4 linked regions of the Drosophila melanogaster genome follow. The protein of the gene in region 2 interacts with the protein of the main gene of each other region in a pairwise test. Each region holds a gene or a part of one and is shown on either strand. Other genes may lie near its edges.

Region 1 (8,323 bases), about 10 Mb from region 2:
CCAGCCCACGTGTCACGTGCAACACTTGACGGTGGATGCTGATAGTATGGCAGCCACATCGGCAGATGCCACATCCTCCACTGCCTGCAGAGGTCCTGGCAGCAATGCTCTTAGCGCCAGCATCAAGCCAAAGTTGTACTTTGAGCAGCTGCTGCGTCGTGACGGTTGCCACAAGAAGCCGCGTCCGCCCGTCAAAGTGGACGTCAATGTGCGCCTGGTGCCCAAACAGCCCATGCCGAAGGTCACTCGGTCCCTGAACGAGACGTTCGTCAAGGAGGTGGACGAGGTGGCACAGGCGATGAACGAAACCTTTGTCAAGGAGACGTCGCCGGAGCTGGCTCGGATCGATGAGCAGCTGGCAGAGCTGGAGAGCAATCGAGAGCGCGAGGATCACGAGGATCACGAGGAGGTGGACGAGGAGACGGAGGAGCAGGAGCAGGCCACCAAGCTTTGATAACGTTATTCTAAGCCACAAGAATAGTATTAAGTTTTAGGTATATGCATAGGGATAATCCATTTGATTATATCAATTTATAAGAATATTTTCATTTCCTAATGAAACTATTTATAATTTAAAGCATCATTTACGTGCAATGAAGCGTAGTAAATTTAGATTATAGCACTAGTTCTTATTCTAGCAGCAAATTGTATTTATTTTTGCGAGCTTTTAGTTTGCCCTGATTTATGTTGACATATTTTCTGTTTTTGATGAACCACAGTCTGGAGAAGCAGCAGCTGAGAGCCACAAACGAGCAGCTAATGTCACGCCTTAGGCAAATCTGGGGCAAATACAAGGCACAACTGCCAGCGCACCAGGGATCCCCGGAGCTGAGCTCCGAGGACATGCGGGAGGAGCACCCAATAAAATCCGTGACGGTACCTAACAGTATTTAACTAATATCTTTTTCCCTCTTTCTTTCTTCCATCTGATTCTCTTTCTATCTTTCCGTATCTTGATCTGTTTCCCTACATTTAAACTTTCTTGAAGAGAGGAAATATCTGCTTTACAATCGAATCTAGAGTATCTGTCCAATCGAATGTTGAGTAATGAGGAGCATATGAGTAAATTAGATAGCTCACCACACGATTATACTAGCTTAGTACCCGGAAAAGGTAAATTCCCCAATTCCCGTCAATAACCAAGTAGAGCACCTCCATCCCATAGTCCCTAATTCTAAACTGATTTAACCACTCCATCAGAATCGGAAGCTGAAGTCAAGGAGGCGGATCTGCCCGATAAAGACCCTATTTAGAGCCTCGACTCACACGACGACTCCACCCACACACCTATAACACTTGATTGGCGATCCACTCTAATCAAAATTCTTGTACTCACACAGCCGCTTACGACTACCAGGCAGCGACATATGGCACCCCAATCGAACCCATACAAAGCACCCCACAACCACACAACAGCGCCAGCGACAGTGATTACACGTCCGGAGGGATTGGCTTGGGCGATGGAGCAACTGCATCCGCAACAGCAGCGGCAGCCACAGCAGCCAGCATTGCTGCAGGAGCAGCTGCAGCAGCAGGATCAGCAGGATCAGGATCGACAGCCCCTGGACGAAAGAGCAGCATCGCCGACTATGGACTCCAGGATAACGATGACGAGAATCTCAAGGACAACCTTGGCCTGGGCGAGAAGCAGCAGCAACAACAGCAACAGCAGGACGTGGACAGGCAAAGGGAGCGAGAGGAACGCGACCGGGAGCTCCAGCAACTCCGCGAGCAGCGCGAAAAACGGGAAAGGGAACGCGAGCGGGAGCGGGAACGGGAGCAGGCCGAGCAGCAGCAACAGGCGGAGCAGCAGCAGCTACAGTCGCAACCTGTGGCAGAGAGCAGCATTACCAATGCCGGCAGCGCCAATCTGGCCGCCTATAACACCGACTACAGTGCCTACGATCAGCAGCAGTACGACGCCAGTGCCTATGATCCCAATGCCTATGGCCAGCAGCAGTACGAGGGGCAGCAGTATGACTACGGCGATGCGGGAGCCGGATACGACTATGGAGCAGCTGACTATGGACAGTCTGGATACCAGTATGACGCCACGCCAGGAGGCACCGCAGCCGGCCAGTCACAGCCGCAGTCCCAGTACCAGGTACCAGCTGCCCCCCAGCGAATGGCCACGGACTACAACAGATCGCCACCGCCATTGGCAGCGGCGGCAACGGGCATCACGTCCCCGCCAGCAACAGGAGCGACCGGAGCAGCAGCAACACCTGCAGTTTCAACAGCAGGAGCAGCCGGAACAGGAGTATCCGGAACGGGCCGACCACAATCGCGCCCGGGCAGTGGAGCTGTGGGGTCAGCAGCTGCGGCTGGAGCAGTCGCCGGCGGAAAATCCGCTGTGCCACAACAGCCTGCCGCGTCAGCCGCCGGCAAAAAGTAGCTGGAGTCCCGACTGCGAGGATCGCCTGACGCTGGAGTGCTCCATCAGTAGTCCCAGCCTGATGCGCTCGTCCAACGATGAAACCTGCTCGGAATTGGCCGATCTCAGCGAGACCTTTGTGGTCCTGGCTGAAAATGGTTCGGGGGAGGAGAGCTTGTCCCCGGCCCAGACCACCATCATCACAGCCAGAAGGTCGAGTGCACCGGCCGTGGTCCAGCAGGCGGACATTGCCAACGAGACCGTCACCATCGAGCGCCATCTAGATGCCCATGAATAGGGGTCAGCACCGAGTTCTCCAGCAACAGTTTCTTCAATCAACGTACTTCTACTCATGTGTTCCATAATTAAACGAAGAAGGGAAATTCATGTTTTATAACTAATAAATCCATTTTAAATAAGTTGATTTTGTTATTTTATTTTCAACTAGCTAGTTCAAGAGATTCAAAGGTATAAAAATTATAGTGGGTAGAATCCATTTCGAGGGTGAGCTTAATGACTGCATAATACTAAAACGTCACACTCACTTTTCCTCCTTTCGCTCCTTCAAAATAAACGCTTTTGCCTCTTGCATAATTTCCGCCAGTAATAACTATTAATGTTAGAACTAATAAACAACTTCGTGATGTAAGTGCTCTGCGCCACGCAATCCTGTCAAAACAACCAAAATGATAGGCAGATGGGCATTGTTCATGTCCTGACTGACATCCTCGTCAATTGCCAGCGACAACTGGGCCAAGCACTCATAAAGTGGCAAAATAAAATGAACTTGACTTTGAGCTTGGAGGTTAGCCTTTTGCTGATTTCGATGAGGTAACAGTGCGACCGAATCGAATGTCAGTAATTTGACTGAGGTTGCGAGATGGGTGGTTGGAGTGATCTAGGAGCTGTCCGGATAGACGGTTCCTATCAGGCGCATACCGTTCCATTTCCATTCGTGGGAGACAATCGTGGCGGAGGCATGACCCAACTGGATGTGGCAGGGTTCCTCCTTCGCCGTGGCCAGGAAGCAGGCGGTGTACAGGGCCATGTCCAGTTCGGGCGAGATGCCCACAAAGAAGCCGTTGACTGGCTTATTGATGTTGTGAAACGTGTAGCGAACGCTGAGAACCATTTGGTTGTGCTGAGGAAATATAGCAATCCCCTTTTGTAAGGATCATCTGTTACATTTGTCTTTAAGCCTTACCTTTCCCATTTCCTTGTGGTTCAGCCAGCCCTTGTAGTCCACATTGCCACGTTGCTCCTGATCTGCAAAGTACAGCCAGTTATGCAAGCCCAGGACCTTCTGGTCCCGAATCTCCGCCATGAAGACGTGCTCGAAACTGGAACTGCCCACAATGCCACGACCTCTGGAGTAGGGAGTGAACCACAGCTCCTGCAGCAGACGCAGCTGATCGTCATATTCTACGCTCACAATATCTAGATGGTATTGGATAGGTATACTAGTCTGATTTATTTCATTTAAAGGTTACTCACCCTTGTGTACCAAAAAACGCATGGTCAGCTTCATCACACGCGTACCCATCACGGCCCTAAGGAAATCATATTGCTCCTGGACGTGCTCCGGCGTTGGATGCTCCTGCACAGCCACGTCCAACTCGTAGTTGTCAAAGAGCCTCATTAGCAGAGCGGTGGTGGAGTTAGCATCCCTGGCCAGCAGATCCTGGTGCAATTCAAAGAGGCTGGAAGATTTCAAGAAATATGAAATAATGTTTATTAGACAGCTTTAGTATTTAATGAATTAATAATTATTTTAATTAAATTGCCTTATCATCAAATTAAATATTTTAATGATAAAATTCATTAGGCGGCGCAACTAGGTACTTACTTTCTAGGGGCGCGATCGTCATGAGCACCTGAAGTGGTCTTCCCCTGGAGATTCACCTTGTAGAGGTATGGACTGACCTCGGTCTCCTCCGCGTACAGATTCTTCGAGAGGGTCAAGACGTCATCCGGCGTTTTGGGCAGCGGCTTGCTGTGGAAGTACTCTAAGAGAAAAAACCGTTGTCCGTTCGCTTACGGAAGAGAGCTTAAAGAGACAACTCACCGTAGAAGTGCCAGCTCAAAATGCCAATGGTGATCAGCAAGCCTACGATCACAAATCTCTTTAGCTTCTGGCATTTGGCGCTGTCGATGTTGCTAGTGCTGTTTGTTTGCTGCTGCACTGCGTCCATTGTGATATAATTATCCAATTAAGATTAGTCAAACATTTGTTTTTGCGCCTCTGTTTACTTTCCCGATGCTCGCCGTTTATCTTCAGCCAAAACTCTCGCGTTGATCGAGTTTTATCTGCTCTTTCCGACCAACTACCTTTATGGCTGAAACGATACTGAGCGGGTTTGCCCCACTGCGGATCTGGCCGCTCATATGCTTGCTGAACACACAAGTAGTTCCCCCGAAAAATTGGATAACACGCTCTCCCTCTCCAATTATTTTCGTTTTCGGCGCTCTCTGGGGGATCATTGTTGTGGTTTGTTTTCACCTCGCGAGCAGCCTTTTGTTTACTCAGGAGCGGATTCGTTGGGCCCCCATGCCAAATTTCAAGTTTGAGGACATAAATGACAATGTGCAGCATATGGTATAATTTATGCGGCCAGTCAAAGTAGGAAAACAATTAGTTTCCTAAAGAAATAAAGCTAAGCCAAACGAATATAAATAAAATGTAACTGAAAAACTAATATTCTGTTTTACCTTGGATAATCATTTATATTTTAATTCATTTTATAAAAAGGTTTACAATTGAATCAGTCTTTAAACGTGCATGAATGAAACCAATTATTCTTTTCCACAATACTTCTAGTATCTATAGATATTTAAAATTCAATTCATATTTTTGTGGGAACATATGGCACGTGGCAAGCCTACTAATTTTTGGTACTTAAGGAATTTCATCCAAAGTCTCTTTTAATTACTAACATCGTGTCTTGAATCTCTCATCTGGAAGTACTAAACAAATAATTTAATCACGCACTTACTAATTTGTTTGTTTCAGCGAATATAGCGTCATTTGTATTAAAGTCTCGACTGTAATATAATTACTTCCAAATTGGGCTTAAACCATACTGTGTTTAACAAAAAAAACTTCAACAGGAAACTGTGACGTGATTTGAAAAAAAAATTGACAATAAATTGTGAACAAAATATTGTATAATTGAACACCTATAATTGCAGTGCGAAATTTTCTTAGGGCTTGATTTTTTTTTAATATCAACAAGATTTTACTCTTATATTGTCTGGACTGCAGTTCCTACAATTAGTTGAAAATAGTCTTTAAAACGTAAATACAATTAAATACATTGTCGCCAAAGATGGAATGACGAAAACCACATTAACTTTCACAATCTAATACCAAGATATCCATCATGCTATATTTAAATTAACCTTGATCAATATATCAATATATCAATATATTCAAGGCACGGGAAAACAAATAGCTCGTCACGAAAGGTGTAATTTGTTTTCAGTTTGCTTTTGGATTGGATCCACCTGGTAGAAGAATTCAGTGTACTAAAGGAGAGCTTTACAAATATTGTAATTTGATACATTATGTTTTGGATTAGCATTTGATTTATTCTTCACAGTGAAGCGAATTGTTTGCTTTGTTACAATCATCTAATATTTTCGAATACAATGTTTGCCTTTTTTAAGCTTAGGTATAGGTAAATTTGATTATCAAGGTTAGTTCTTTATACTTAAAGTAATTATGTCTTGTAGTCTAGCCGAAAACTGGATTTTGCTGCTTCTTTTAATCTCCTGACTCCTAAAACTCCGAAGCTTCAAAATTCGGAGCGCGCGTTTTATTGATTAGCTCAGTTCTAATGTTGTGACAAGCAGTCTCAGACAATATTTACCAAATCTTACGAAATGAATTCACGAAATGAATTTCAAGAAATATGAAATAATGTTTATTAGACAGCTTTAGTATTTAATGAATTAATAATTATTTTAATTAAATTGCCTTATCATCAAATTAAATATTTTAATGATAAAATTCATTAGGCGGCGCAACTAGGTACTTACTTTCTAGGGGCGCGATCGTCATGAGCACCTGAAGTGGTCTTCCCCTGGAGATTCACCTTGTAGAGGTATGGACTGACCTCGGTCTCCTCCGCGTACAGATTCTTCGAGAGGGTCAAGACGTCATCCGGCGTTTTGGGCAGCGGCTTGCTGTGGAAGTACTCTAAGAGAAAAAACCGTTGTCCGTTCGCTTACGGAAGAGAGCTTAAAGAGACAACTCACCGTAGAAGTGCCAGCTCAAAATGCCAATGGTGATCAGCAAGCCTACGATCACAAATCTCTTTAGCTTCTGGCATTTGGCGCTGTCGATGTTGCTAGTGCTGTTTGTTTGCTGCTGCACTGCGTCCATTGTGATATAATTATCCAATTAAGATTAGTCAAACATTTGTTTTTGCGCCTCTGTTTACTTTCCCGATGCTCGCCGTTTATCTTCAGCCAAAACTCTCGCGTTGATCGAGTTTTATCTGCTCTTTCCGACCAACTACCTTTATGGCTGAAACGATACTGAGCGGGTTTGCCACACTGCGGATCTGGCCGCTCATATGCTTGCTGAACACACAAGTAGTTCCCCCGAAAAATTGGATAACACGCTCTCCCTCTCCAATTATTTTCGTTTTCGGCGCTCTCTGGGGGATCATTGTTGTGGTTTGTTTTCACCTCGCGAGCAGCCTTTTGTTTACTCAGGAGCGGATTCGTTGGGCCCCCATGCCAAATTTCAAGTTTGAGGACATAAATGACAATGTGCAGCATATGGTATAATTTATGCGGCCAGTCAAAGTAGGAAAACAATTAGTTTCCTAAAGAAATAAAGCTAAGCCAAACGAATATAAATAAAATGTAACTGAAAAACTAATATTCTGTTTTACCTTGGATAATCATTTATATTTTAATTCATTTTATAAAAAGGTTTACAATTGAATCAGTCTTTAAACGTGCATGAATGAAACCAATTATTCTTTTCCACAATACTTCTAGTACCTATAGATATTTAAAATTCAATTCATATTTTTGTGGGAACATATGGCACGTGGCAAGCCTACTAATTTTTGGTACTTAAGGAATTTCATCCAAAGTCTCTTTTAATTACTAACATCGTGTCTTGAATCTCTCATCTGGAAGTACTAAACAAATAATTTAATCACGCACTTACTAATTTGTTTGTTTCAGCGAATATAGCGTCATTTGTATTAAAGTCTCGACTGTAATATAATTACTTCCAAATTGGGCTTAAACCATACTGTGTTTAACAAAAAAAACTTCAACAGGAAACTGTGACGTGATTTGAAAAAAAATTGACAATAAATTGTGAACAAAATATTGTATAATTGAACACCTATAATTGCAGTGCGAAATTTTCTTAGGGCTTGATTTTTTTTTAATATCAACAAGATTTTACTCTTATATTGTCTGGACTGCAGTTCCTACAATTAGTTGAAAATAGTCTTTAAAACGTAAATAAAATTAAATACATTGTCGCCAAAGATGGAATGACGAAAACGACATTAACTTTCACAATCTAATACCAAGATATCCATCATGCTATATTTAAATTAACCTTGATCAATAATTATTCAAGGCACGGGAAAACAAATAGCTCGTCACGAAAGGTGTTATTTGTTTGCAGTTTGCTTTTGGATTGGATCCACCTGGTAGAAGAATTTAGTGTACTAAAGGAGAGCTTTACAAATATTGTAATTTGATACATTATGTTTTGGATTAGCATTTGATTTATTCTTCACAGTGAAGCGAATTGTTTGCTTTGTTACAATCATCTAATATTTTCGAATACAATGTTTGCCTTTTTTAAGCTTAGGTATAGGTAAATTTGATTATCAAGGTTAGTTCTTTATACTTAAAGTAATTATGTCTTGTAGTCTAGCCGAAAACTGGATTTTGCTGCTTCTTTTAATCTCC
Region 2 (8,466 bases):
TATAGAAGACATTCATGGAAGACACGGCGATCTCCACAATATTTGTGCGATCCACATTATTAAACCGACTCGTGGCCCAATCTCCAGGTCCATCGGCGCCGCAGCATTTCAACTGAAACAGATCAGGAAAGTTCGCATAAATCGTTTTTCCGACGACGTGGTGGGTATGTCCAAGTACTTACATTCTTTTGCAGCGTATCAAAGGTGACGGTGCGCGAACTCATCGTGGACTGGCCGTACTCCTCCTGGACTGACGACTTGACAGCCGCCCGCACGATGTCATCCAGCTTGTCTTTGTTGTGGAAGGCCCATGCTCCGGCTGCAATTTGTGCCACCATCACGATGAGTATGACACAGAAGAACTGCAAGAGAATTTCAGATTTATGAATGACGGAGTCCGGCCCGTGGGCGTTGAGTAAATAAACTGGTTGCGATTTAAGACAGATATGTTTGCACTCGCAATAAGGAACTCCAATTAAGTGCAACTTTTGTTTTCTTTACATCATTTATATGTATAAGATATACTTTCTGTTATATATATTTAATAAGTACTTTAAATGGCAATACTATTGGATAAATTTTCTGTATTCACAGTCCAATTTAGTTAGGTATAAAATTATTTTGGCAAGTGCATCGTTTTGCCAAACTGCCAAGACATTGTGGGCGAACCTCCGTTGCAATCATATGAGCGGAACCGTGTGGGCCACACATTTGCATGCATTTTAATTGGAATTCCCAGACACTGGTTATGATATTACTTTTCACTTACCGAAACCAGCAGACATTGCGACTCACGACAGACTCCGCAACAGCCAAAGAATGCGCCCAATGTGATCAGTATGCCGATGGCGAGGAAAACATACAGGGCTATGTGATAATGATTGTAGTTCTGTGTCATCGACAGCATAAATGTGGGATCCGTCAGCATCCAAACGGAGGTCACCACGATGGTCAGTCCGATGAGCTGCAAGCGAAAAGAATACAAAATATAGTAGAGCATTACCTATTTTTACACATTTTCGCTGTAATTCTCAAATTGTTGCATCCATCTCACGCTGGGCACACGCGTCAATGACGCCATCTGGCGGCAAGGCGGCAATTAAAGTGGGAGACTGCCCCGCCCAGTTTCGCCTTGCTTTAAACTTCTATAGTTTCATACATATGATGTCAGCTTAGTTGGACGCAGACTATATACATAGCAACTGCTGTTGCGCTTCTTTTAATTTAATTAAAGGCAGTAAACAGAAACCAAGTACAAATTACAATTTTCCCCATTCCATTCAATTTGTTAAAAAAAAAATCAGTAATTCTATCCAGTATACAGATTCAAAGGCAGCTTTTTGAGCTCCGAACTTTCAAAACCCGATAAGAAAAGGCCCATTAAGTTTGAAAATCAATGATGCGATAAAATTTGGTTTAAAGTTAAATTTTGGCCTTCATCGCCAAGACATACTGTATGTATATACATATAGAAGTGGCAAGACATTGATCCCAAGCGAGAATATGAGAATTGCGAGCTCGTGTTATCTCACTTCTCGGGTTATCAGCAAACGAAATATGAACTTTTCTTTGGATTTCCGCTAAAAGAATTCCGGTAATGTATTTCTTCTTAAATTTTCCTACCCAGATATTAAACACTAAACTTGCTATTGCCAATCCATCCACCAGAAAAATGTTGTTCCGCTCGTGCAATGAGTAAGAGAATCTAATATAGAGGTAATGACTTAATGGGTTGGTCGAGGTGTCTATGCAAGTTCATTAATTATTCAGCAAAATTATTCATCGCAGGGAAATTGAGTGTGCGATGAGAGCTAATCAAGAGATGTAAACAAGTGCACATATTACATGGGAAATATGTAAATTTAGAACCACTTAAGAACCGATGGCTAACTGAGAAGCATTTCCAAATACAAAACACTTCTTATCTCGTATTTTTTCTCAGCCCGCAAGCTTTTGTAATTGCCAAGAGCATCAGTGCTTTCCGATAAGATTACGCAGTGGATCTCGCAATAAGCAAATATCTATTTAACTTAAAGATACAGCAAAATATAAGATACAGTTTTTGGCGCCCAGGAAAAACGGATGAAAAAGCATGAGGAAGTCTCGTAAATTTCATGAAAATCTTATGAAATATAAGAGAAGCGGAGACCGGCTTTTATGTGGGTGGTCCACGAAAGAGAGAGCTGCCATAAAGTGAGCGAGACAAAAAGTGTGCCACAAAGTGCACGATATGCTGGCCCTAAAGTTCATGAATGTGCATGTGTGCAGCTAACGGAAAAACTACTCATGGAAACGTAATACAATGTTGCCCCATTCGAGGGCAGTTTATTGAGTAAGTACATTGTAACCAGAAGCCCTTGTTTGCATAGATTTTACTTATTTTTCCAGGTCAGGTTTTCGGGTATGGATCAGTAACATAATCTTGAATTTGTTCATGTGTTGAATTAAAAAAAAAAATGTTTCTGAAGAAGAGGTTTATTCCTAGAGCTCTTATAAAGTATGTGTATGTATATACTACTTTGGATAAACCTCAATTCCCTTATCCTTTTAGGGAACAAAAGTTGACCTCGTTTTGAATCAGTCCCATTATCCCTGAACGAACTGAATCCACGCCTTGTTTGTAGCTCTGTTTGTTGGAATTTTTACGATTCCCCGAACGTTTTCACACACATATATTTTTACACATCTGACACTATGTCGCGTGTCCAGGACAAACAAACAAAAATCCTGCCGAATGGGCCAATAAATGTACAGAGTCCTTCGTTGACCCAGTTTTCAGAGCCGAGGCGTCGAAAGCGGAAAACGAGAGAGCATTTTACTGCTGCTAAATTGCAAAAAAAAAAATAAAATGGGGCCAAAAGGCAGCTGGGCTTGCATTGCATGTCCAGTCACAGTTTTGTCCCACAATTAACCGCATCGATGGCAAATCGCAGCCAACAGCCATCATGCATCAGCCATAAGCTGAAAATACAAACTGAAAAATGAATGAAGCGCCACTCATGAATAATTGAGTGAAAAATAGCACAGCGAATTAAGTATGTAGATGTGACATGTCACAGCGAATTGAAAATAGATACAGGCCAGCTTCGTTACTTGGAGAAATATTTTTAAATATTATTTTATTCACAGCAAAAGATTACATTTTTTTCAGGAATTTAAGAATTCTGCACTATGGAAGTCTGACTGTGCTGAAATAAATGGTTTTTTTAGTGGGTGGACAGGATAGGATTGTCAGATGGTCGACCGAATATTTGGAAATCTTTCAGTTTTGGTCACTGTCAACTTCAATGACGACAGCGCCGGCCGTTTAGCATTTTAGACGCTTATGGCATAGGCCTCCCCCAGCATCTTGGATGTGGGATATCGGCCCCATTGGAGCGTCAGCGTCCTCAGAGATCGTGGCGTTTGATCACGATGCCCCACGGCGACGATGAAAATGGAAATGTTTGGAAATCGATGCACAGTGGAGAGCGAGATTCAAAACTAATCGGACAGTGGTCATTTTTTGCGAAGTTATATAAAAATACTATTATTAAATTTATTATGGCTTTGTGGGGTAATTGATAACATGCCCTGGCTAAGAATAGCCTCAAAACAATGTATAAAAAGTCTTATATAAAATAATATCTGACGCACTTTCATCCATAAATCGCTCTAAAAATAGTTCAAACGATTAGTGAAACGAACTGCATCACAAACACATCACAATTTCTATCGCTCATTGTTCCTCCACTGAAATCAAACACACCACTGTGCATCCAACAACAACAACGATGAATACTAAAACATCACAGATCAAGGAACATTACACAGAAACCAATTATTGGATATAATCTTATTGGGATCGGTTAATTTTAATTTTTTTTACATGACATATATACAATAAACGAAAAATAATTGAAAGGTATTCGAAAGTTTCCAAACACGAAACTTGGCTAGGCATCAGTATTTTCTTTCTGTGTACAACAACGAAAAACTGAACGGACGCGTAAGTTTGTGTTGTTCCTCGCCCGTATTCGAAAATAGCTTTTGACTAATAAATACTATAGACAGAAATCGAAAAAAGGCAGCAACAATCAACAAACGAACGAAAAAAAAATTAGAAATCAGCCCGCATAAGAATCAAAATTTTAAATTTGTTGCCCAAAGGAAAAGCGAAACTGATTTCGCAAGCCGCGGAAGACAAGAGGAAACCCCAAGAAAAACTCAAGGAAACTCAAAACAAACGCAAACAATCGCTGTGGCAGATAGTAATTGAATGGAAACAATTGAAAGCCTAACGAGGCTATGTTGAAAGTCGAAAATTGCGTAAAACAACAAGCAGATAAGTTGGCCAAAGAAAGTAAAACCCTTTTTTTTGGGGTGAGGAGAGGTCCTTTTTTACCGAATTAAGCCAACCGAAGTTTGTAAAAATATCAACGGCACGTATACGTTATAAAAATAATAAAACAAAAAAAGAGAGACAGGAAGAGACAGAAGCAAAAGAAAAACAACTGAACAAACATGTGGAGGGAAAAGAAAACAGTGGGAGGTGGGAATGGAGATGCTTAAATGTTTATCTGTCTGTGTGTGTGTGTGTCCCCTCCCACAACGGAACTTCTATTGTTTTTATGCGGGAGTACGAGCAGAGCGGTAGGGAGTGCGAGCGGGAGATGGAGAGATACAGTGATGTCGCTTTTAAAAGCCAGTTGAAGTTTTGAAGTTATAAATGGTAGAAAATAATTTAAAGTCAAATAGTTCATAACAAACAAAACCGATTTGTTTAATTTCAAAAAGAAAAACCCTTCTATTAATGTTTTTAATTAACCGCGTACTTGAATATTTATATAATCTTGTCCATTTAATGTTTTTAAGCCCGCTCATTAAAAAAAAAATATTTAAGTTAATATATTATTATATTTATTTTATTATTTATTTATTTATATTTTTTACTTCCTTTTCGATTAAATATTTCAAGCCGTACTTAAATAAGTTTCAACTTATGTTTTGGGCACCTCTGGGATCGAGAGAGTGGAAAGAGGGACTGAAAGAGCGGTAGGACTCCAAAGAGCGTGCGCACGGCTCCTCCCTCCGCCCGCGCGCCAAGCGTGAGAAAGAGGGGCGTAGGGAATACACAACACACACACATTCGCTCACGCAACACCCACACACACGCGCGCGAAAAGGAGGTCCGTGTGTTCCAGTTGTTGTTGTGATGGGAGAGAACCGAATCTCGCATTGTTGTTGTTGCTGCTGCTGCTGGAATCTACATACCCAGAATAAAATGTTTATAAGGACCATCAGATATTTGACGCACGAACAGCAGCCGTTGAGACCCATGGCGCGGATTGATATTCTTAAATAGGTAACTCCTTAAAAAGTAGCTGCAATTTAACTGGTTTTTCAACCACTTGGAGATGCTCTTTTTCCAAGGAACCCCGAACTGCAGTGTCGCCTGCACTTTTCGACCTTTTGCACTTTTTCAAAACACCCGCTCGATTGTACTATATTTTTCAAATTTTTTTAAAATTTCCCGTGCTAAAATCCACCGATTTGAGCCACTGTTTGCGCGATTGGCCGTTGCACCCGATTTGTTTTAAAAATTTTATTTGTGCATCGAGGCGTCCGTCCAACGTAAAATTCTTGTATCAGTGCGACCATTAGCTCGGCCGTTCAAATATACCAGCGGGTATAGAAAGGCTAAAAACCGAAAAGTGGTGACCCTTAGAAGATACCAAAGAAGTGGTTGAATAACTTTGATGAGGCTTAGCATGGCTTGCAACCTGCTTGGATTTGCAGCCTATACGCAAACCAAAGTGGCCTATCGATATTTTGGATAAGTTCTATTGCCAATTTTCCCAATAAAATAAAAACTTCACTTGAATGTTAAAAGTAATTTAGTTTCAGTGTTTACATAATGTTCAAATAACCTTTTGATTGTTATTATGAAAGTTAAAAATTAAAAATTTAGATATTCTAACTAACTATTATCCCCAATGTTTCAGCTATAATCACCATATTTAAAGTAGATTTCATTTTAAAGTATAAATTTGTGGTTGTTTACATTATTTTAACATGTCTATTTAATTATTACTATGAAAGTGGGTAATTGAAAATTAGGATATTCCAGGTTTTTGATTTACTTTGGCTATGATTTTCCCAAAATATTTAAATCTGTAAATGTAAACAGTTTGAAATGTGACCTTAATAGTTCATGCTTTGTTCATTCTTCTGCGAAACGGTCACACTGTTCGCGCAGGCGAAAATGGCCTAAAGCGTGAAATGTTTAATTCGTTGTTGTTTCTCCTCCGCAATAGTTACTAATAGAAACAAATGCAAAATGGCTGTCTAACGTTTAAGTGCAGCGACCGCCGAAGATCGTGGAAATATGCATGAAAAGCGGCTCGCAGGCAAATGAAAGGCGCGTGAAAATGTAGCAGACACCTTTTTATCGCGAAAACGAACATCGGTGCAAAGGGAAAAACAAAAACCAAGGAAAATACAGCCAAACGCGAATGTGAATGTGAAGGCAAAGTAAGCGAAAAGTCCCCCAACTTTTTTGGGGAGTATCGAGTGCACCACATACGTTTTTCAATATATATTTCGATTGCATTGAAATCAGAAACATGACAATTTCCCCCCTTCCCTTATTGCTGTTGTTGTTGTTGTCGGCTTGTTGCAAGTTTGTGTGAGTGTGTCTTGTAATTTTGTTACGCAGTGGAGCGAAGTTGGAGTTTTGTGGAATGGAAATGGAATGAAGTGGAACGAAGTGGAGTGTAACCAAACACGAAATGGAAAAACGAGGAAAAAACCTTAAAGCGCAGCCTAAGCTTTAGTCGTACTGAAAATTTCTCAAGCGCTGCAAGCCAGTCTTTGCCAAAGTAAAGCCCCTACCTCCCCCCCCCTCTTTTTGCATAATAAACGAAAAACGTTGCGCCCACTTTACGCACTTGTTTTTATGCTTTCCGCGTTCAGTGCACTTAAAAACTTAATTGGTTCCCCCGTCGGCGGTGCTAATGTAGCGCATTTCACTGTTTTCAACGTAAATATAATTATATTAGCAAACGTTTACAAGCAAGATTGGATTAGTAATATGTAGTAGCTTGCTAGAAATCCTAATAAAAATGTGAATAATAATATATACGGTTTCATTTAATATTTTGAAAAGTTTTAATAGAAAAAAGTACAGCTTTTCTAAAAGCTACCCTTATATTGTGTTTCTTTCTCACGAAATAAACTACTGTGTAGAAGGTAGCGGTAAATATTTATGTTTAAAGTCCACTCTCTTCTATGTTAGAGGTATACCCCTCGCCCCTTGGCCACTGCGAATGCTGTATCTTCGCCAATTTCACTTTCACATTCGTCGTGGGCAGTTACAGCGAAGCCAATTGCTTGGTACTTCTTTTATTTTGTTTTTGTTCCCCACTTTGGGGCGTTTCAAATTAGAAAGTGTTTGCGTGTGTGTGTGCGCATATGTAAGTTTATGCGTGAGTGATGCGAGCGGCGTTTTCTCAATGATTTTGGCTAATTATGTAGCTCATTTTCGATAACCGCTTTAAACTGTGAAAATTGTGTCAACTTTGGATACTGTAACTTTACACCCGCCACATAATTTCATTTTAATTAGCGCTCGTTAACAGTTTTCCATCTCCCCTCTCCATTTTGTCGCCCTCTTGAAATTGCAATGTGTGGGAAACTTAATTTGTTGCATCTAGGAGGTGAAAGAGGGAGATAGAAACTGTGGGAGACGAGAAAAATTAAATGAACAACACTAATTCAAATGCAAAATGAAATGTACAGACACAGATACAGTTGTGTAACAATTGTTAATTAATTAACAGAAACTTTTAAACTCAATTTTTGAAAGACATGAATATTGAATTCTATATCAGGATTATTTAAAGCACTAAGCAAAGCGTAGTTAAAATGGATTAAACCTGTTTTCAAATATAAAATGAGAAGAAATGTGGGTTATTTGGGCTCAAACAAGTTTTAATTAACCTGTAAAAATACGTGACATTTTGTATATTTCTTGATTTCGGAGCTTTAAAGAATCCCTATAAATTTGGCCATCGCTTCATTTATACATTATTACATACATATGTACATATGTACGAATTTCAATCATTTACATTCCGCACACAAACATGAAAAGAGACACCAATACACATGCACCTACATTTGCCAACAGTCAACATAAATTAGTGCGAGCAACGGCACTTGGCAACATGCAACAATAGCAACAAAAGCGACATGATTGAAGCAACAACAACACCGACCAAGGAAGTTGCCAACTGTCCCGCTTTGTCTCTCTTATTGTCATTCGCAACTATCCCGCTCTGTCTCCCTATTGTCATTAGCGAGTTAGCAGAGCGCCGCTCTAATAACAGCGCCTTTACATTTCCATTTGCCAAGTGCAACAACCCTGCGTGGGTGTATGAGTGCGTTGTGTGTGTGAAAATACTATAGAATTGGTGGCAATAACAA
Region 3 (8,477 bases), on a different chromosome or scaffold from region 2:
TCCACTCCATATTTCTTTGTTTTCGTTTGGGTTCTTTTCGCTTTTCTGCCTTCCGAAGGGGCGGCTAATTACATGGGCGTTGCTCGCCTAAATATATCAATTGTGTGGGCGTGTCCCAAGAAGATGACTCAACCGATTTGCTAATTCAACTTGTTTATCGTTAGTCACTCGAACTGAGCAGCTGCGTTCGAAGCAATAATTTAACAATTTCACGATCTTACGTGCAAACGAATCGTATTTATTTATGTATTGTACATTCATATAAACGTTGAATAAAAAATTCCTTGTAATTGTATTCCTAACAAAACAACGAAATGAATTTACATCGCTTCACTTGGAAAGTTTGAATTTAGTGAGGCCTGCCACTTATAATTTTAGCTTCTTAAAAATGGCAAATAATTGTACAACAATTTGAATACATCCGAATTTTTCGAGCTTATCAGCTAATTCTGGGAAAGAAAGAAGAGTCTTACTATATGGACGAAATGCCTTTCTAATATATCTTACCTTCTTAATCCAAACTCAATCTGAATCTGAATCTGTAAATAATATGTAAATGTTGATTACAAAATTTGATATGACCTGCCTTTTAACTGTTTCACACCAATCATACCATTGATGCGAAGATTACTTACCACTGCCACTGTTACAGTGACTGGCACTTGCTGTTTCCTCTAGCATGTTTAAATAATAGTTGTCGTTATGTGTGCGGATCACACCATCAACGATTAGCGTATCAAGGGCGTCATCAATTCGCCTTCCCATTTTCCAGAACTTCTTGTCTGTAGCTGTGCTCACCGCTTTTAGGATCACCTCCTTGGAGGCAAAGCCACCCATGGCGTCGATGCACTGGATCACCAGGTGGCTAATATTCGATTTTTTTTGCGACATTTGAATATCAAATTTGCTTCGTTTACAAAATAATTTAAACTTTCACTATTATGAATAAATTTTTGTTTAGTAATGTTCAATGTAGTTCTCTAAGCCTTCTGGGCTTACCAAAATCAAATCAACTAATTCATTCTGACAACAACCCACCTTCCAGTAAAAAGCATTCTATGTTTTAGTAAATTTAGTAAAGAATTTACACAACTGAAAAGTTTACATAAATTAAGCTTAGAGACTAATTCACAAAAAAAAAAAACGATCCCACACTGCAACCGCATCAAAATCTCATGCCGCCCAAGGCCAATCCAAGTGCTATGGTCACGGTGACGCCCACCGAGCTGCCGATGATTGCTCCGCCATTCTGGTAGCCATAGGTACCCGGGTAGTTGGGGTCCGGCCGTACGCCCATGTAGCCCGGCTGGCCGGGATGGCCCACCTGGTTGTTGTAGGAGAAGGGACGACCGTGCTCGTCCGTACCGCTCACGTAGTAGGCTCCATTGCCACCCGCTCCACCGTAGGTACCACGCGAATCGATGCCGGCGTATCCGTAGCTGAACTGCGGATCCTGGCCACTCAGACTTCCCGGCGGATGCATCCCGCCGGACTGGGCGCTCGAATAGACGCCAACGCCGGCCGCATTTCCATTGTTCCAGTGCACCGTTCCGGCCTGGGCATCCACTGGATTCAAATGAAATGTGCTTGAATTAGTAACGCATGTAAAAGGTAACTTTCCTTGACCACAATGTACCCGCCACTTCTCGTGGACCAAACATGCTACATGGTCGTTATCAAAATGAGACCTAATACTATTACACATTTTAAATCAAATAGTTTAAAAATTTTGCTTTCATATTTGGTTTCAAATAGAAGAGATCAATAATTTGCTGATAATATCGCAGTGCTTAATTCTCCATTAGAAGTTGAAATTGAATTTGTTTACTTGGCACCGTCGAAATGGTATCGTGTGTGCGAATGCGATGTGTTATTTTCCATGGAAAAGCCGCTGAGGTTTATACGTATGTTTATTTATCGTATTTTTTGTGCGATTTTTCATATGTTCTGTTAGCGTTTCACTCACCAGCACTAAAATGAACTAGTGCCAATCCGATAACAATGACGATCAGAATGCGATTGAAATTCGACATGTTTTCCGAATGCGCGTTTGACTTCAACTAAACCGCTTCCAAAGTGCCATTGACGGTTTTAAACTCGATTCCCAAGCTCGGCTCTCATGTTATGAGTAACAATAGCGATTTTCTGCTGCCCTGAGTCATATTATTTGGTGTTTATTTACTCAATTTGAATGGAGCTGTAGTTTCGGTGGGGTATGATCAAAATAGGCACTTTATTTAGCACTGAAATCGAAAATCGAAACAACAGATTAAACATCTTAAATCTTTTTGGGTAAAATATTACCACTAGGTATCATATAGTCGAATTGCACAAAAATTTTCTCTGTTACAAGTTTACAACCTGTATTTATCTCACTCTGTAATTAGATATGACTTGTGACTTGAGATTAACAAAATAGTTTCGGTTAGCTGCAGGTAATGGGTATCTTTTAGTCGACGCACTTTTCTCAATTAATTTGCGTCTGCTTTATTAAGGAATCCTCAAAATAAAATTTAGCTATACTAGTGGTATTAATTCTTCTTATTGTTCATATCCATTCATCGTTTATTTGTTCCACATGCAGATGAGATTATTTTCTTTTCGATCAAAGAACATAAAACCGCGGTCGTACTTTATTTTCCCAAACGAGAACACGCAACTTCAAGTGCTTTCATGTTCGAGTGTCGAGATGTTATTTTTTTTTTTTTTTTTGCTGTATAGAACACGATAATTGGTTGGGTCATTAATGATATGCACGACACGGGCCGGGGTCATTTTGGGTTAAGGTGTGCTCCCATGTTGGTTTGCCCCAGAAGTCGAGATACATACATACATACATATATGTACATAGATCTTCTGGCGAATGGGGAATGCCGAGTCACAGTGCTTTGATGATCGCCCGAATTGTATTCGAACCTTCGTTGATCTTTTATGACCAAGTATATTTTGCATACATATTTTTCTAAATATTAACATATGCATGTTGTATATGCATATAAATAAACAAATATATATATATATATATATATTTATATATGTGTGTATTGTTGTCCGTCCGTTTCGCACTTTTCAGGTGAGTGGCGTTCGGAGGCGGGCAAACAATGCAGGTACGTTGTGGCTACCGTTCGACGGAAAATACATACAAACATACATATACATATGTACATACATGTATGTAGAAAACGAAAAGCCTCACAATACAATTGGTGGGCATGTGCGAATTGTTTGCTTTCTCAGTTGTGACGTAAAGCAATTTAGGTCGGCCGATAGGGTTATGCTAATGGACTATTCAATACCTTATGCTTGTATTTTTACTGCTTTGCCGAAGATAGTGAAATTGAATAGTGACTTTGTCATTCGACTGACATGTTCATTGACGTTCATTATTCATAGCCATTGCTCGCACAGGATTCATTGTTTCTAGAAGCTGTATGCTGAATCTCAATCTTCTAGCTTTTATAGTACCTGAGATCTACGGATACGGACAGATACGGACAGACGGACATGGCTAGATCGACTTGGCTATTGATCTTGATCAAGAATATATATACTTTATATAGTTCGAAACGCTTCATTCTGCCTGTTACAATGCTTTTTTAACGAATCTAGTATAACCTTCTACTCTACGAGTAACTGGTATTCAAATTTAGCTGATTAATTGAGAATTACGAGAATCGTTAGCTTTGGATACTCGATTACGTGGGTTAAACCGATAGCTTGTTGAAGGGCACTGTGATTGTCTGGCAACTCGTTGCGCGAAGCGTTGCCACCGTTCAAACAGATCCTGCGCAGTGGACCACGTTCTCCGGCAATGGGTTCAACTCGCTCCCTCCTGCCACGCATTTCTCTCTCTGTTTGTGTGTGTTTTGCTCATCTAATACGTTTGTGTTATGGTTTTTCCATTTTCGAGGGAGTCCAACCACCCGACTCCCAGCGCCGAGTGAAATTTGGAGAGAAAAGGCTAGTTCGAGTGCGATTACCGCTGCTGCTGGTGCTGGAGCTGGCTGTCAGTGGCTCGAGTTGGCAGTGTTGGTGGATACCGTTGCCTTTTTGTGGCTCAGAGCGGTTTGTTTGACCGCGAGCGGAATGCAGATAAGCGCGTTTTAAATGAATCACTGAACGATCGAATGTTATACCCATCGAGGGTCGGCCAAACTTAATCGAAAGTGCACCAATAAACGGCAAAGGGTCGAGAAAAAGCGAGCGCAGGGAGCTGGAAAAGTTGCATTGCCTTCTTTCTAGCGCACAAAGAAAATGAGCGCAAAGGTAGGCCAAGAGCGCGCCTCTCTTTTGCTGAACGTGTGTGTGTGTGTGTGTGAGTGTGTCAGTGTGTGAGTGTGCTGTATGTGCAATCAGAAGTACCACCCCACCACACCACACCACTTCCAAACAGTCCGATTCAAAGTCATAATTTCATTTGCATTTGAATAAATGCATCCCAGGCACACCACCCTCTCACCACTCACACATCTAAGCTGCTCCGATTTTATGGTCCTTGGTATAGAGAAATTGTAAGGAAAGCTGCACAAATGAAGTAGCTACCATATGGTATACCAAATAGCCAGGATACTCGCAGCCAAATCGAGAAAGGAGGTGGCATAACGACAGATAATGACGAGTCGAGAGCACTCATTCTACCAGATTTCAACTCAGTGCAGCTCAAGTGAAATCCCATTGTGGTGGTGATTCGGTGAATCCCTGCAGTTATCATCTGTTGCCCTGCAAAAAAAATGGCATGAAGAGCCGTTTATGAACTCGGAGAATCCGAAGTAGCCATCATTGACTTTCACATGGGCTCCGTTCGGTTCATTAAAACTCCCTTGGATGGACGCTTTGGTAGAATAGTCGTAGTAAATGGTTGAGTGAAATATCCTTATTTCGAGCATAAGACTAAGGTATATAATAACTTAGTTAATCATTTTCAATGGGACCTAAAGTTGCATCATATTCAATCATGTTATGAACTTAATATATTTCCCATAAAAGTATTAAGACGTCAATTCCGTTGATTTGCCCATTAAGTCGAACCTTTCAATGGTTTTCTACCTCCTTGTTTTTCAATACATTAGCCGATTTGATTGGTGGCAAAAGGAGGGCTCGTTAGGCGTAACGCCATTTAATGCGTGTTTACATTCAACAGTCTGCTAAATGTCAGTTGGTGTGCAGCCTGTGTTTACATTGCGATGGAAAATCGTGGCGAGAAGCAGTCCAAACTGAGGGATACCTCTTGCTTAATGTGTTTTTAAATGTGGTTCTATGTGGCCCATCCATTTTCACGTGTATTATATACCTATTGTATACCTGCAATATCATATCGCCCCCATCCATCATATGTTATTTATATCGCTTGTTGTCCGACACCAGATTACGTTCGTAAATCTATATCGAAAGCTTAAAGATACCAATTTGTTGGCAAACAAGATCGAGTGCGAAATCATATCATATGGCGCCTTTCCGATCCCCGATCCCAAATCGACATTAGAATATTATTCGGCATACCGAAAATGGGTGGGTTGATATAGAAGATATATAGAAGTGCACATAAGCAAGGCCGAATCTTTTGGTGTATATTTGCATTGTGTTAATTGAATACATATGCCGCTCCTTTTCATTTTAATGCGCCCAGTATATCCATTTCGGCTACATCTTGGCACATATTGCCGCAGTAAACACGCACACAGCCGCCAGTCAATTAATTTGAGTACAATGCAAAACTATCCAATATAACGCGCCGTTGGCCCGTAGATGTTTTCTGCTTTCGGCGGGCATTGTTGAATTGGTTGGTCGCAGAACTCGGAACTCGCAGTCCCTGAGTTCCGAAGCTCTCCGGGCTCGACCGCCAGTGCCTTGCGAGCGGTCATGGGCTAAGCACAGATAGTATCGTTGCCGCGCTCTGTTTTCGTATAGCTCCTCCCGTCGAAGTTCCGAAAAATAAACACACTACCGCATACCGTGCTCTCCCCATACACAAAGATTAACCAAAATGTGGCTTTCCGACTGCCGTTCGGTATGTCCGTGCTTCAGCTCCTGTATCCCATTCACTTTTAGTTGGGCACCTTAGTTAGACATGGAATGCTGACAAGTGGTTGAGAATGGGTTTTGTTCATGTTCATGTTTCAGACTTCGCGATTTCTTTCGAATGGATATCTAGATAGCGAGTAAAAATAGTCCAAAGATTACGAGGAACTCTTAGTACAAAATTATACATATATTTCTCTTAAGTTGTTGTGCATTACCTTTTTCTATTTCTATATTTCCATATAGTTTGGGTAATTTGCAAATTGTTCCTATGATGAATGCACATTTTCTGAAAACCCAAGGCATATCGTAAACTTGGAATGCTCTGCTGACTGCTGAAGGGTTAACACTTTTGAGTACATAGAGCACCATATGAAAATGGGCAGCAGTGGGGGATGTGAGAGAAATGTAAAGCACAAGGCGTTGAGTGAGCGCTAAAGAACGCACGGTATCTATACAATCCGAGCGGAAAAGCTTCGGTCTACTTATCAGATGCCCTAGACCAAAACATGTGATAACAGATAGCAGCAACATATTTAGATTATTAGATACACGTTGGTAGGCAATTTGATGGGTTTGCAACAATTCGATTCTCATTCCAGATGACGCGCTACAAGCAGACCGAATTCACGGAGGACGACTCGAGTTCCATCGGCGGCATTCAATTGAACGAAGCGACCGGCCATACGGGCATGCAGATACGCTACCACACCGCCCGGGTATGTAAGAAACCTGTCGGGGTAACACCGTGCATCCGTGCAATGCAATTCAGTCGGATAGCCACTTAGTTGTCGTTGGGCTTCAGCTTTATCTTTGTGGCAATGACCCAGAAACGAGTGGCAAATGGGGCCAAAGTGAGCGCTTTTCTCATTTGCTCGAAGGTTGCCAGTTGACAGTGAAAAGTCTGCTCTTATGAGTGGGAGCGCGTTGGTGTGAGCTTTTCCCTCTGCGAACTGACATGAATACCCTATCTGGTGACAGGGTAACGATGGCTTTGAGAGGCGGTTCGTTGTTCAAATAAATTTAAACTTCATGTGATATTATTCCATAGATATACGAAAGCACTTGACCGTATACAACTGTATCAACAAAATGTCTAAAAGCAAGTTAAATTACTATAGAATTTAAACAGTGTGGTACAATATTTGTCTTTGGAGACTGCATTTCATGAGTCGTTGCGGCTTCTGAAAAGCCATTTATCTATATCTCAGCGATATATGGAAAAATTAGCAGGCAAGTGCCTTACGCTTACGAAATGTATCCCATGTAGATACCACCCCAATGTGTACAAGTTTGAACTCATTTGAACCGCCGTCGTCTTGTTTACAAAACACACAATTCGCTGGAAAAGATTTATGGGGCGAATCTTTTGTGCCGCCATGTGGAGGCCAGAATGATTGGTGGCTAATGCGGCGTTTTCATTTCACAGGCTACATGGAATTGGCGCTCGAGAAACAAGACGGAGAAATGGCTGCTCATCACGACTTTTGTGATGGCCATCACGATCTTTACGCTGCTCATCGTCCTTTTCACAGATGGAGGCAGCAGCGATGCGACCAAGCACGTCCTTCACGTCCAGCCGCACCAAAAAGGTATGGATTGGGTGAATGTAATCTAGGAATTTCCAAGGATACACAATCGTCTCCCTTTCAGATTGTCCTTCCGGCAATGAGCTTCCTTGCTTGAACAAGCACTGCATCTTCGCCTCGAGCGAGATCCTTAAATCGATCGATGTGACCGTGGATCCGTGCGATGACTTCTATGGATATTCCTGGTGCGTTAACTAAAAATTCAATTCAAATTGTTCAAGAGGAGTTCCAGTAACTATTTGCTTAAAATTGCAGCAATCAATGGATCAAGAACAACCCCATTCCCGAGGGGAAATCCACGTGGGGTACGTTCGGCAAGCTGGAGCAGATGAACCAGTTGATAATACGTAACGTACTGGAGAAGCCGGCAAAAAGCTTTAAGTCGGACGCGGAGCGGAAGGCTAAGGTTTACTATGAATCATGCCTGGATGCGGATGAGCACATGGAGAAGTTGGGGGCAAAGCCCATGAACGATCTACTGCTGCAGATCGGAGGATGGAACGTGACCAAGAGCGGCTACAACGTGGCCAACTGGACGATGGGACACACTCTAAAGATTCTTCATAACAAGTGAGTTAAGCAGGGTTTCTAATGGCGATTTATATATTGTAGCTGACATGCATTCATCTCTGCAGGTACAACTTCAACTGCCTGTTTGGCTGGGCGATCGGTGAGGATGACAAGAACTCCTCGCGTCACGTCATCCAGATCGATCAGGGCGGTCTGACGCTGCCCACCGCCGACTACTACAACAACAAGACGGACAATCACCGCAAGGTGCTCAACGAGTACATTGAGTACATGACCAAGGTGTGCGTCCTGCTCGGGGCCAACGAATCGGATGCCCGCGCTCAGATGATCGGCGTCATT
Region 4 (6,689 bases), on a different chromosome or scaffold from region 2:
GAGAATCATATATATAGCTATACAATAATAACTTGTGTATGATAAATGGATTCCAGATTCCAAAGAACCCCAAGACATAAAATTCAATACGAATCAAAATGTATTTTAGATCTGTTTAAGAGGTGGAATAATACTACCCGTCGTATTCCCTAATCCCATCTCTACCATCGAATCCTCGATCCAATTTCTTTCCGTACAACATCTGGAGTTGGTCCGAGTTTTTCGAGTGGTCCACATTCACAGAAGTCAAAACTCACCCAACAGGAAGTATTTGCATGTGCAGATCCCGGGATCCCGATCCAAACCAAACCAAACCGAACCGAGCCGATTCGCCAGCGCGTTCGCAGAAAGCGAAAGTAATCATCCACCGCAGCGGCCACCGGGTGGATTATTGTTTGGTTTTGCCCACGGGCACGCATGGTTAGAAGGGGCGCGGGTTGGTCGGGTGGCCGGGGGGGCGTGGCATGGAAGCTATGGCATATTTATCGCTCAGACAAATATCCATTATGCAATTTGGCATGGCTAAAACGAGCAATTTGCCGCAAATGCAATAACATCCCGGCGAACGGGGTGGGGAAAGCCGATGGTGCGGTGTTTTGGTGGTTCGATGGCTCGGTGGGGCAGGATGGCAGTGGTGCGCCCTCAAACGCAGTAAAAGCACACTGGCCTATATATACACATGAAAGCCGAGTGAGTGAAAGAAAAAAACAGCGAGTGATACTAATGGTTTAACCCGTTTGGAGCCACTTTTTATTAGGTTGAACTATAATACTCTGTTTATCTTGTTGCCAGACTAAAGATATAAAATCTTGTGGAGACTTAGTAGTGCATATATCACTTACCCCATTTTGATTATAGATTATATTTCTGAACGGAAGCTCCTTGTTCAGCCTTAAATGGGTTAAGCACGCCGCAAATTGAAGCTCTTGACAGTTGAGTTAACAGCACAGCACGGCAGCAACATGCAACATGCAACAACCAGTTGCAACAGCAGCTGACGTGGCCAGCGTTATGTCAGGGGCATTGTGGCATTGTAGAATGGGCAAAAACAATACAAATCCACACAAACACAATCAAAATGGAATTTCTTCAAAATCGTGTGATGCATTGCTTGATTAGCGCCACATCTACTGCTACTGTTAAGTAATTGCCCGAAATGCGTTTTATTGCAAATTTACGGCGTACGTGTTTCGTGCTCCATGCGTCGTGATGTGAGTTTCGCTGGGGATACATCCAAGACTGGACTCCTGTAGCTCCAACGCTGACCCACATCAATTGACACCAGCGACGACAGTTACCACTATTACCACAGAAGACATTCAAGGTCGATTGGTGGAGATGTCTTCCAAGCGATATGGAAGGGCCAAGAAATTTGGATTAGCGTGACAACTTTGTTTTGTCTCCGGCCGCACACGTTCACTTTTTGCGGCGGTCTACAGAAGGCCGCTAAGTGATCCAGTCAGCGGCGGTATATGTGCTACTTGGTCATGCATTCGGAATGATTTTAGCTCCACTCCGCGCTCTGTCTTGCGATTATGATTATGAAATGAACGTAATTTGCCCCGTATTACACAAAGCCCCGCCAAGTCAAAGTTCGATCGTCTGCCATTGTGGACAACTGAAGCATGGACCACCGCTCCCAGTCCCTCTTTACCACCGACCAGAGGGTCTTAACCCCTCGTAAACAGATGCCAACGACGGTTAATACAAATCACATATCACTACACCATGTTGGCCATGTTAACAGTCGCGCGTCCACTGTTATGCTTATTTTCGCTTGGCCGTTGAAGTTGCTGCTGCTGTTGTTGCTGCTGCTGCTGCTGCTGTTGTTGCTGCACCGACGTCACGTCTTTCTCGTGCAGCGCAGTCGGCTTGCAGCAACAACACAAAGCGCTGCTGGCGCCCGGTATAAAACGGATGAGTCGCAGCCTGTGGTTATCAGTCACCACCTGACAGTGCTCCGGTTTTAGTATCGCCTTTCGAGTGCAGCAGAGCTCAGCCCAGCCACCATGTCCGTCCTGAAAGTATTCGTAAGTGCGACAAGGATAACGTTCGAAAAAGTGTTAAGCCAAACCTCCGCGGAATGGAGCTGAAAAGGATTAAACTCATGTGGACTATCGTGAATAAAACTAACCAACTGAAACATAACAAACTCACTGAAAACTGACTTCGATAACCGAAGTATTGGAAATATACCACCAAGATCGCCTGATGGCTTAAAAAGTCTCGAATAGATATTTCAAGAAACTGCGAAAGCATTTATTTTGCAGAAATATAAATTCACCCAAAAATATTAGTTTATGTTTATCAATCGCGGACTAACATTTCATTAGATTACTTAGATTTCACCAGAATTGAACATAAATTTTGAAGTGCCAAATTAAAACTAATCACACTGATTAGTTAGCTATTTGCGTTAATCTAGCCGGACCTAACTTACTAACTTCCTTATCCCCTTTCAGATCTTCGTCGCCCTCTTCGCCGTGGCCTACTGCGCACCCAGTCCCGGCTTCTTTGGCAAACAGTGAGTATCGGCGGCGATCTGCACCTGAACTGATCCATAAATAACCCGAGCGAATCGATAAAAATACCCATTTCCCGCTTTATGCTAAGCTAACGAGCGGTCGCATGGCTTTTTAAACGCTGCGACTGCTCCGTGGGTCTATGAAATATGTGTCCGATTGCGATCGAATTGAGCAATCAAAACGCTTGTAGCACTTAGAGCCCCAGCCCCCTCCAGCAGTCTCTATATGGTGCCCACCACTGGCTACCATTGAACTTAGCCGATCTCGACTTGGCTTGGCTCGCGGCTTAGGAATTTCGCAGGCGGCGGTTGGCATTTAATTCAGCGTAATGCGCGCATAATTGTGCGAATCAATTGCCAATTGCCAATAGCCAATATGCAATAGCCATGTCTGCCAAGACGCTGGGTTCAAGCAACTGATTAGCTAACAGGCGATGGTACATGGCATTCGATCTAACCGATTTCACTTTCGATCCGCAGCGAGCACCACACCATCCACGTGCCCTACAAGGTGCACACGGTGCACCACCATCACGTTCAGAAGGTCCATGTGCCGGTGGTGAAGCACGTGCCGGTGCCCATTTACAAGGAGGTGCCCGTGCACCACGTCCACCACGAGGAGATCCCCGTGCCGGTGCACCACGTCCATCACGAGGAGATCCCGGTGCACCATGTCTTCGATGACCACCACGACCACCACGGCTGGAGCTCCCACCACGGACACGGCTGGCTGTAAGCCATCTGCCCGCTGGCCTGCTTGTCTTCAAACCCACCCACTCAGCCAGTCCCATCTGAAGCAGCCTGTAAATACTGTACAATGCTAAGTTAATGAATGTAAATAAATCACAATTCGACTGTACACAGAACAATCCTGGCGTATTTATGGCAGGATTCCCTGAAGTGGAACCTTAGTGTTTGATGGCTCACAAGTAATCTAATAAACCAAATACTTTTAATGGGAATGAAATAACGATTTTGTTATTTGAGGCTTTTTAAGTTGTTGCGATTAGGATAGATGGTTACTTTTGAAGACTCGAAACTTGCTTATCTCTATATTTATATACTATATAAGATGGTAGAATATAACCTACTTGTTAAGTAATATTTTTCAAAAGATTTTTGTTATCAGTGACAGAACTTGTACACATAAAATAAAAACCCCATATACTCAGATACTCAAATACTAATACCCTGATAGCAAATAGCCACAAATAGACACACTACCACATTTGCACCATGATATATCTACAGAGTTGCTGCTGCTGCGTGGATCTGCGAATCGGAACCATAGCAATAGGGATTTTGCACATTATAGCGGATATCCTTGGAGGCACATTTGTTGCTTTATTTGGGGAGTCGGGTAAGTGAAGCAGGATACTTGAGAGCAAGGATATGATCCTAACACCCATAGGTATTCCCGATTTGGGTCACACCCTATTCATTATCTTCGTTATGCTGCACATCCTGAGCTGCGTTTTCCTGATCATCGGCAGTATACGGGTGAGATACCAGTACAATTGATTAGTTTCAAATTATAATACTTATGATTTGATCTAGTTACGGAGCAGCTGGATGCTCTTCTACATAATAATGACTATGATCATGGCGGTAGCAATGCTCATATTGATAGTATCCGACGTCATACTCGCCGTTTGTTTCTGGGTAATGATCACGTATGCTATAATGTTCTGTAAGTAGCTAAGTGTATCTAAGATTTCACAATCCCTTAATTTTTCCCCATTGCTTCAGTTATTTGCCTTTATTCCTGGCTAGTGGCGTACTCTTTTTACGCCGCCTTAGGAGGACCTCTCTTCATCTGAATGTGATCCATTGCCAAGTAATAAATTGTACTGTGATTGTAGCAATAAAGTACTTGAATTTTTACAAATCGATCTGCATTTTAAGTGGAATAATCATCGTAGAGTACCGAAATAACTATATCTCATCTCATTTGGTTCAATCGTTTTGGATTCCAAGAATTCGAATATTCCTTTTCATGCAATAAGTTTCCCATAATCACTTCCCATTACATTTGTTTGTAAAATTACTTTCGTGAGTTGCACTTTTTTCACACACTGCCAAAAAAGAGCAAAAAAAATGGGGCAATGCTATATTGATTATAAATAAAGCAATGATTGCACGCATATTTCAGGTGAATTGGTCGGGAATGTGATAGGTTCGATTGGATCATTGCTCCATTAGTTAATCCCACTGCAAGACTGTAATTTGCAGTTGCACTTGACCTTGGGCCGGTCTCCCAAAGGCGGCAATTAAGCCGAAGTTTTGCAAGAACGACTTTCACAAAGCACTCACTTGACCAGCTCCGACTGAGGTCGACCGCCAGTCCGCGTCCGCTCCGCTCCGATCTCTCCCTTCCTACGATCTCCACGAACCCGATCCGATCCGATCCGGTCCGGTCCGTCCACTCCGCTCCTTGCCCAAGTACTTACTGTGCTGCAAGTCAGGGGCGTGGCAGGGCACATTCTCGGGGCATGAGCTCTCTTGGTTCCTAGTTCAGCACGCTTTTCAGCTAGAACTGGTCCTAGGGCAGTGGAAATGTTTAATTAAGTATATACCTTTTACACTTTCGGAACTCTTATCAATTTAACTTGAGAATTTGGGATATTTCCGTCATATAATTCAAGCTTAAAGTAGCAGGATCATTCCTTTCTGTAAATCAAGTTTCATGGAGCAGGATCTTAACAGTCTTCTTTCATACCTCATTTAGCGCACTTGACTGAATGAGTTTCTGATTGTAGACAGTTCAAATTACTTTATTTAATTATAAATGCTTACTTTGGTCAATTAATCTTTTCTTCATTAGTAAGAGTTCTATGAACCAACCAACAATTACATTTTGTAATATAGTAAGAAGTTGTAGTTGCGAATAGAACGATTTGTATACCCCCATGTATCTGCAGCTATCAACCATAGAAAGTCCCATTTCTTTGACCAACATTTTGCATTTATTTCGGCGCCAACAACAAAGAATTTCAGATTAATGTCCACTAATTGAGAACTGGGGAAAGGCGAAGCGTTAAAGGAAGCTGCGGCTGGCCGCAAGTGAGCCCTAGGCCGCCCTAGTTGCAGTACGGGAAGTTGGGGCACTGGTGCGGCGAAACTCCGGCGGGATACAGACGCTCCGTCCAGCCAGGTAGAGGAGGAGCTGCCACGGGAGCACCAGCGTGTCCGGCGTTCACGTCGCAGTAGGGATAGTTGGGGCAGGTCTGCGGATTGACGCCAGCTGGATACTTATCGCCACCGGGTGCGGCAGCAGGGGCTGCGTTCCACGAGGGCTGTGCCTGCCACTGTGGCTGCGGCTGGGGGTTCCACTGGGGTTGAGGTTGCTGCCACTGTGGCTGCGGGTTCCACTGTGGCTGCGGCTGGGGGTTCCACTGTGGCTGCGGGGCACCCCACTGCGGCTGCGGATTGTGCAGGCGCGCATTATCACAGATGGGGAAGTTGGGGCAGTCCTGCGGATTCACGCCAGCCGGATACTGGGCAGCAGGTTGGTGTTGTGGCTTGGCCACCGCCAGGGCCACGAAGGTAGCGAAAAGCTTTGAAAAGATTTTAAAAAAATATGGAATTTTTAAATGTAATAAGATACATCTGTAGTTTGAAAAATATCTGGAACTTAGGATCCTCGGATCTTAAGAACTTCAACTAAAATGTTGCAGATTTGGATTCCAGCTCCACTTAGTAGTTAAAGGAACTTTTTCAGACGCTATCCTTGTGGGCAGAAACTTGGCTCAAAGGGCACTTACCAGCTTGCAGAACATGTTGGCTGAGGTGAGTGGGTGGTTGGTAGTTGTGGAGTTGGTTCTGGTGTGGGGCTTATGGTAATCCTTGCCGAATTGGACTATGGAGTCGTAGCTCAAACTTCCAATTGGGTTCCTGGTCGGCGCTGCACTGCTGCTGCCGAGCCCGGCCATCAAGCTTATATAGCGGTGCTGGCTAGAACCGACTCTTGGCCGGGTCTCAATCTCAGCCAGAGTCTCTCGGCCAGACTCGGTTTCACTTTCATTACTGCGGCTGCTGTGCTTGTTGCTTTTGCTATTGCTGCTGCTGCAGTGGCTTTGCTTTACTTTTGCTTTTGTTTCTGTAGTTGACTGATCTCGCGCATATTTTACTTGATTGGCCCAACAGATTATTATGAGTCTTTGTT

The links.
Region 1: the proteins of Tsp96F (region 2) and EndoU interact in a two-hybrid assay, tested with the Drosophila melanogaster proteins (one large-scale study listed by BioGRID).
Region 3: the proteins of Tsp96F (region 2) and Nep3 interact in a two-hybrid assay, tested with the Drosophila melanogaster proteins (one large-scale study listed by BioGRID).
Region 4: the proteins of Tsp96F (region 2) and CG43183 interact in a two-hybrid assay, tested with the Drosophila melanogaster proteins (one large-scale study listed by BioGRID).

Annotation. Positions count from the first base shown.
Region 1 is NT_033777.3:15,904,836-15,913,158, reverse strand, and holds EndoU (endoribonuclease U-specific), read right to left. Parts: upstream 4,762-8,323; 5' UTR 4,567-4,761; coding exon 4,440-4,566; intron 4,381-4,439; coding exon 4,221-4,380; intron 4,075-4,220; coding exon 3,869-4,074; intron 3,812-3,868; coding exon 3,579-3,811; intron 3,516-3,578; coding exon 3,273-3,515; 3' UTR 2,792-3,272; downstream 1-2,791. Other genes in the region: CG45105 (uncharacterized protein), read left to right, coding at 989-1,113, 1,341-2,104, 2,196-2,672. UniProt on the Drosophila melanogaster protein: Endoribonuclease that cleaves single-stranded RNAs at uridylates and releases products that have 2'-3'-cyclic phosphate termini. Preferentially cleaves single stranded RNA at poly-U sites with CU, UC and AU sites cleaved less efficiently.
Region 2 is NT_033777.3:25,875,763-25,884,228, forward strand, and holds the start of Tsp96F (tetraspanin 96F), read right to left. Parts: upstream 5,666-8,466; 5' UTR 5,320-5,665; coding exon 5,254-5,319; intron 965-5,253; coding exon 770-964; intron 363-769; coding exon 183-362; intron 113-182; coding exon 1-112.
Region 3 is NC_004354.4:19,957,335-19,965,811, forward strand, and holds the start of Nep3 (neprilysin 3), read left to right. Parts: upstream 1-3,962; 5' UTR 3,963-4,266; intron 4,267-4,354; exon of another isoform or gene 4,355-4,511; intron 4,512-5,841; exon of another isoform or gene 5,842-6,007; intron 6,008-6,620; coding exon 6,621-6,737; intron 6,738-7,447; coding exon 7,448-7,610; intron 7,611-7,671; coding exon 7,672-7,792; intron 7,793-7,862; coding exon 7,863-8,177; intron 8,178-8,242; coding exon 8,243-8,477. Other genes in the region: CG43784 (uncharacterized protein), read right to left, coding at 523-539, 636-891; CG12655 (uncharacterized protein), read right to left, coding at 1,166-1,566, 1,967-2,033. UniProt on the Drosophila melanogaster protein: Metalloendoprotease which is required in the dorsal paired medial neurons for the proper formation of long-term (LTM) and middle-term memories (MTM).
Region 4 is NT_033778.4:8,588,561-8,595,249, forward strand, and holds CG43183 (uncharacterized protein), read left to right. Parts: upstream 1-3,634; 5' UTR 3,635-3,760; coding exon 3,761-3,884; intron 3,885-3,935; coding exon 3,936-4,024; intron 4,025-4,081; coding exon 4,082-4,214; intron 4,215-4,273; coding exon 4,274-4,344; 3' UTR 4,345-4,409; downstream 4,410-6,689. Other genes in the region: CG14752 (uncharacterized protein), read left to right, coding at 2,010-2,030, 2,463-2,524, 3,005-3,260; CG8736 (uncharacterized protein), read right to left, coding at 5,605-6,081, 6,289-6,303.